Linked DNA regions of Arabidopsis thaliana. The protein of the gene in region 1 interacts with the protein of each later gene in a pairwise test. Each region holds a gene or a part of one and is shown on either strand. Other genes may lie near its edges.

Region 1 (3,759 bases):
AATATTGCATTTAGGTGCATGAAAGCGTCGTCCTTGGTCAATAGATTAGTTTTTCTACATAACGACGTAACGAATTATCTTAGAATGAAAATTTGAGTTATCTGCCGTCGTTTTTTGTATAGCTAATTGGACATTGGAAATAGATGACCGCACGGTCCGCACCAAAACAAATATTATATACGTTGGTTTTCAGCAAGTCCGTAAAACAAGCACCGAGAAAATGATTTATCGTCCGTCTCTTTGGCCAACACCATGCAAGTACTTGTCTAGTGATGGTCTAATGTAACTAACGCACTAAAAATATCATATGAAATGTGATTTCTGATACAAGCTCCCATTTAGATAACAATTGTGGAATACACCGTTTTTTTTTTTTTTTTGGGTCTAAATACACTTAGAAAAGTTAGTTAGCATATCTTTCTTTGAGCATATCTTTGTGTATACGTATTTGTTACATGATTCTGTATCAAACAATAAACCATGCATGCAATATACTGATGATATAGACAAACTTATATGTGTATGTATATTCACCAATCTTAATTAAGTGCATGTGATACACGTATAGATACACACCTACATGTTATGGATATGTATATATTTGAATGATATAGGAAATGAGAGTTATAATTGATAGAAGATCCATATGAGAGTTTAAGGAAGCAAAAGGCTGAAAATGATGCCTAACCCTAATGATAGAAACCCTTAAAAGCTTTGACTTGTGATGTTATAACCTAAGAAGCTAATCCAACACCAAGAAAATCAATGAAAGTAACATCGTTCTTCTCACCATCATCTCCCATGGATGGTCCATCTTCATTTGAAGTCATCTTATGATCTGGTGTGGCTGCATGAAATGTGTAATTCTGAGGATCCACCAACTCTTTCGACTTTCTCCTCTCAAGATAAATTTCGTGGTGTACGTTAGAGACAGATGAAGATCCAAATTGACCATTCGTAGGTGGTGAAACAAAAGAGTAAGGCCAGAGACCGCAACTCTTATCCTTTCGATACCTCCATAGCCCGAAATGGGATCTATTTAGCCTTGTAAGACTAGAACTAGGGCTCAAAACAGTATGCCAAGTTTGGTTGAACGTAGAAGTAGCCGTGGAAGAGAAGTTTTCCCGTTTGCGTCTAGCCATGATGACATGAAAATGGTTTTTGACAGCGTTGTCGGTCCTCCCGGGGAACAGTCGGGCTATGGAGGCCCAACGATTCCCTTGGATCCGATGAGCTTTAAGCAGTCTCTCTTCTTCCTCCTCGGTGAAGGGTTTCTTGGTGATGTTTGGATCAAGTTGGTTGTACCATCTTAATCTACAGCTTTTCCCTATGATTCCATATTGACGCTCAATTATTTATAAAACACATAGATTTAAGTAATATGATTAGATACATATATATAAAGAAATATCAATATATATATATTGATTACCTGATCTTCCATAGAGATGTTGAGCAATAAAATTCCAGTTCTTGGGACCGTATTGTTCAACGAGTTGCCGGAGATTGTCATCTTCAACAGGTCTCCAGTGACCTCTTTGGCAACTAGGCTTCTTATTGTCAAAACTGTTGCTTCCTCTAGACATCTCCATGGATGCTATCTCTATCTCCACCGTACCTATATCAAACCAATTAGCAATTGTTGAAGAAAGAGGTATAAGATAGATTAGTCTAAGGTGAAATGATAACAAGGATGAAAATTAATACAAAGAGGAAGAAAAACAAAAAGGAATAAAAAAGAGAGGGTTGGTCTTGGTTCTCTCCTCTAGGGTTATAGATGATAAGTCACTTTTCTTCTTTTTACAAGACACCCTCTCCTTTTTATATAATATAATTATTATACCCATCTCAACAGAAACTCTTTTTTAAGAACAAACTTATACTACTTCTTTGTACTAGTTCTTGTTTCATAGAGATATACATAATACTAATACCAACATGAGCCTCTACGTACTTAAGTTATGTAGTTCTTTTTATAATCTATATATACGTGTTTGTAAATAAATACCGTTTTGAATTGCTCTAGCTAGTCCCAAAGTACGTACTTTATATTTATAGTCGTCGCGTATATATATATATATGCATCTTACTACCTACATCTTACGAGGTTATACTAATCATTTTCAAAAAGAAGCTAATGATCTTGATGCTTCTGAACTTCAACAGCTAGCTAGATTTGATCACGACCAACCTGCATTGACGATCATTCTTATTATGTTTTGTTTATTTTCCGACAATTATACTTATTATTTTCCAAAACATGTTTATTTTGTTGTATTCCACTTTACTGTTGGTACTTTCAAAGATGCAAGTAGTTGTAAATCGAATAAAAAACAAACGACAAGTCTTCTAAATATAGCAGTCATCGTCATTGGTTGCTGTAAATAAACATGGTATATGTGATATAGATATACCTTTACAAGTTAAGCATAATTTAATATTTCTGTTAACACAGAATTATGCGATTAATTTAACATGTTAGGTGGTATTGTTTGAATGATATATACCAGAATTTGAGTATAAATCTAATGTGTTAACCATCAATCATAAGAATTATATAGTATAACATGATCTCGGACCTAGAGAGAATATGAGACAAAGATGTGAATTTTTGTTATTATAAGAAAACAAATAGATTTCTGTTACAATATAGTTATCAAAATGTCTCTTTTTTTTGGTAAAAATTATCACAATGTATCTTCTTTATTTATGTAGGTCGACTCATCTAAGTAAGGCCTCAAGCCTTGTGATATTCACATAAAAGTGAAGTAACCTTTCTCAGCTTCGGTGACGAATCCACTCTGCCTTTTGTTCTAGAATCTGTTTTGTTTTCTCAAGATTTATTACATCTTGGTAATACAGGTTACTAGCGATGCCCGTGGTGAAATTCTAGCATGATTAAAGACAAGTTTGGTTTTGGTATATCACTTTGACGAAGTAAATGGTATTAGTCAAAATAGGGGGCACACAACACATAATTTAGACTTTTTTTATGTATATTATTCATATACATAGTCACACATGCACAAAACTTTCTCTCGTAACTTTTTCTTGTTTTCTATAATTTAATTATACTAATCAATACTTGGGGACGTACTTACAACCTGGAGTTTTCTCCAAACATTCTTTATTTTCCCTTTGGGAAAACAGAGGTTTACTCGTATTCAACTCTAGTTCGAGCCCTCCTAACTACATTACCCTCTGCAGAGCTATATTATCACAATTTTTCACAAATTATTAGCAAATAATCGACTTTTCATTACCTCTATATATATATAGAGGTAATAAAGAAAAAAATCCTTAGCAAAGGAAGTTAAGAACCAATTTGATCAATGTAAGACGATTGTTTGGCTTTAATGAAATCTGAGATGGTGGCTGCATCACCATGTCTGACCACTCTACCGTTCTCCATATACACAGCTCCATCCGCATACTTGAGCTCCTCTAACCTATGTGTCACCCATAATGCCGTCACATCTCCTTTCTTTGCATTTATCAGATCTTTTACAGCTTTGATCACACCCATCTGCAGAACAAAAACCCCGAGAAAACAATATGCACTGATTAAAAAAGGCGTATACGTCATAACATATCTGTCAAATTCATTTCATTTCTTCTAGATACTATATCAATTGTGCAAGTTACTCACTTCCAATGTCTACTATAACACAATCATATGTCGATGTTGAAATATTCCAGTTATGGAAGGGTTCCCTTGCAATACTAGTTGTGTTTCATTAGCACGTTGTTAGAATTAAT
Region 2 (3,759 bases), on another chromosome or scaffold:
AGAAGTAGAACTCGACAAAAGATTCTCTTAACCAAAGAAATTCATGTCGTTTAAAGAAATTCAAGAACTATTGAAACAATTTGAAATTATATATTCCATAAAAAGAGAGCATGGGAAATGGAGGAATTGTGAATGAAGTGTCGGTACGTAAACAGGTTAGGACAAAACAAAGTTTCCTCATCTTTCTTAGTGCCCACATGAGCCTCTACGATTCCTTCTCTCCCATCAATGCTCTCTTCAATCTTAGTTAATTACTTCGAATGTTTGTCCTATCTTCTCTTCTCTCTCATCTCCTATCTTTCTTTCTCTCTCTATCTGTCCATAACCCTAGATTTGAAGATCGAGGGCGATCATGGTAAAAGACTTCATAGAAATTCTATAACATTCAAGCTGTGTTTATATGAATACGAGCGTTGAAATTTGATCCCATCGCGTTTTCATATATGTTCCAAAATGCTTGTATAGATATGTGTGTGCATAGACATAGAGTGTCGGAAATTTGCATCGGGACGATTTATAATTAATTTGGTGTAGGGTTTGAGGTCCTTATTAATTTCACATAAAACTTGGTTCAATTTTGTAAAAAGTGTTTGTACTTATTTTTCTTGATTTGAAACTTATTTTGAGAATTTATGATTAACGACAGCTTATCTATGTTTACAAATACTAATTCAACTCACAAGATGACAATAAAGACAAAGATTGCACTCTAGAAAGAAAGTTGCTTTGCCTAATTTGAACAATTAAAAAATTGCATTCAAAGATAATATACCCGTAATTATTTATTAGTTACCTCTCTCGAATTATATACTGATTGGTAAGTTGGTAAGCCCTACAAAAACATATAGTTAGCCAATTCTCGAAGAGAAACCAAATACTAATATATGGAGGTGTGTAACCCAATGCCCATTGAAAAGGGTCACCAATAATAAAACCAAAAAGATAAAGACAACTTCTGTTTTGTACATACGTGAACTCAAGAATCTTTGGGAATCACATCCTTAACCATTTGACAAAACTCCCTTCTCTCTTAAGTTTTTATTTAAATTCTGTTTTCAAACGTTGGGATTGAAGACCGTCATGTATTTAACCTAAGTATATGAGAAACATGAATATAGATCAATAGCCATCATGATAAAACCAAATGCGTAGAAACGTAATTCATTCCACCACATAGTAATCGGTTGAGAGGTAGACAATAGTTTGTACCTTTTGTCTATCAGGGTTCGAATCAATCGGCTTAGATCGATAGTTCTCATGTTCCGTTTGAGTTCCCCAATGCTAATCTGATTTTTATTTTTTTAAGTTGTTTTGGAGACACTCAAAAACGTGGTTTAATATGACAAAAGGGTAAAGCGTAGTCTCCGGCAAAGGTCAACTTAATTGGAAATTATTAAAGAGAAAATTGTTAGAAAAACAAGAGTGGTTTGGTCGGATTGAAATGTTTGATACATCATTCACAAAACAACAATTCTAATGACACAAAATATTCGACTGCCAATTGTGTATACATATAGACTGGACTATTTGAACCAATATGCTTGATATCAAATATATGATTAATTAACCAATTTAAATAGCCTAGCCATTGTCACATGATATATATCAAAGGCACGTTAGGTAAACAGAAGATGTTTTAAGAAATGGTATAGTTTTTGGAATCTGAATTCATATTCAAATTCACCATATTTAAATCTTGTTTAAAGAAAGATATTATTTTTAAGAAGTAAAGGAGATAAGTTTACATGTCATTGTCACTAAAAGAACAAACGGATATTTTTCTGGTATGTTAACAAAAATGAAGCAAAACCTAATAACTAATGTGATTTCACCAAACGGAAGATTCCAACACACTTTTCCATTAAAAAAAAACATACAATTATACGTAAACATGCATGACATAGATAAGAATTTTATATATCTATATAATTATATACTATAGTTTACGACAAATAAGACTATATTATATACTTATAAGTGTATATATATGATTATAGCTAGTATTATTGAAGCCAACGCCGAAATTATCATAGAGATTTAACCTCTCTCATGGGTTTTTTTTTGTTTGTTTTTGAGTAATTGATCTCGAGAGCTAGCTAAAGACACTCTCGCCGGAGAGACATGGCCGGGAGATCTTCGCCGGGAAAATGCTCCACGTGGCTTGACCTGAACAGAGAAGAAACAGTGGAGAAGAACAATGAAGAAGAGTCATCAGTGGAAGACGAAGACCAAATCACGAATAACGTTAGACAGTATATTCGGTCCAACATGCCTCGGCTTCGTTGGACGCCTGATCTTCATCTCTCCTTCGTTCGTGCTGTCCAACGACTAGGCGGTCCAGACAGTAGGATTCTTGTTCTCTCTCTCCACGTCTCTTTCTCTCTTTCTCTCTCTCAGCTTTGTAATGTAATTGTTGTATGATTTTAAAGGAGCGACGCCGAAATTGGTTCTTGAGATGATGAATCTAAAAGGATTGAGTATTGCACATGTCAAGAGTCATTTACAGGTAATCTTCATCGTCTGTTATTCTAAGATTATCTCAGTTTTGTTCATCTTTTTCAATGTTTTCATGTTTCTGATTTCAAGATGTATCGAAGTAAGAAGCTCGAGCCGTCTTCTCGCCCTGGTAAGTTAGTTTTGATCCGCAGACATTTACCATTCCTTCACTGGGTTTCATAATTGATGGAAATGACTTTTGAACAGGATTTGGAGCTTTCATGAGTGGACAAAGAAGCTATTTGATGGACATGATCGACTCTCGATGTATCCCTCATAGCGATTTAAGACATGCCTATAACTCTAAAACCGTTCCTTCGAGGTCATACAAAGAAACAAGTTCCAGTTACTAAAATGTTTCACATTTGTATATCCGATCCGACCAAGGAAGTTAAAATTGCATTCTTTTCTGTAGGGTACTCAATCAAGACGCGGTCGTTACAAATCTTGGAGGTAACTTTCTTATGCGACCTTCGAGCTGGTTTAGCGGGTTATGCAGAAATGACCGAGACAGCACAGAGAACAAGACTCTGCCTCTACTCGAGGTAACTACCTACTTTCGTTTTAAGAGTTATAGAGGAACAGTTTTGTTAAAAACCGAGGAAGGTACTGTAATCTTGGTGAAATCTTATGCAGATTAGGAAGAAGAACAATGAGAAAAGAGTCCGAGATGAAGAAGTATCATCAGTCAAACGATTGAAATCAATGTCCGGAGGTGGGATACAGTTGCCTGAGTTTGGAAATTGCAGGCAAAAACCAACAGATGATATCAACACAATGCTCTCGCTCTCTCTGTTGTCGACATCATCAGAACCGTAACCAACATACTAGAGAGATGAAGTTTAACTTTAAAAGAGATTCAAGAGTAGAGACTTTTGTTTTCCTTAGCCGTTTCATGGGATGAGTACTTAGCCAGGATCTGGATCAGGCTTGAGTCAGATCCTGCAAGTACTTATCCTTAGCGGTTTCTCTGCATTCAATACAACACCAATTCTGGAATGCAACAAAACACATGTAATAATATGTTTCCTCGTCAAAACCACCAAATCAACTACATGGCAAGTCACTAGTTTGATGAAATAGTAAACGATAATAAAAGTCCTAAATATATAAGAATCATGATGATGATACCATAATAAGACAAAGTCATAATCAGTATCCAAAAAAATCACTCAAGCAGAAAGAATAGAATACTTAGTTATAACGACATTAATATAAAATCTTCTTTTCTTGGTTCACCTCCTCTTAGTCTTAGCTTTGAAT

The links. The genes of interacting proteins can lie anywhere in the genome.
Region 2: the proteins of MYB69 (region 1) and AT2G42660 interact in a two-hybrid assay, tested with the Arabidopsis thaliana proteins (one large-scale study listed by BioGRID).

The regions. Positions count from the first base shown.
Region 1 is NC_003075.7:16,095,012-16,098,770, forward strand, and holds MYB69 (myb domain protein 69), read right to left. Parts: upstream 1,764-3,759; 5' UTR 1,593-1,763; coding exon 1,433-1,592; intron 1,328-1,432; coding exon 735-1,327; 3' UTR 381-734; downstream 1-380. Other genes in the region: ABCI10 (ABC transporter family protein), read right to left, coding at 3,314-3,526.
Region 2 is NC_003071.7:17,766,621-17,770,379, reverse strand, and holds AT2G42660 (Homeodomain-like superfamily protein), read left to right. Parts: upstream 1-2,000; 5' UTR 2,001-2,121; coding exon 2,122-2,344; intron 2,345-2,429; coding exon 2,430-2,506; intron 2,507-2,586; coding exon 2,587-2,626; intron 2,627-2,703; coding exon 2,704-2,818; intron 2,819-2,911; coding exon 2,912-3,041; intron 3,042-3,132; coding exon 3,133-3,315; 3' UTR 3,316-3,330; downstream 3,331-3,759. Other genes in the region: AT2G42650 (Ribosomal protein L1p/L10e family), read right to left, coding at 3,732-3,759.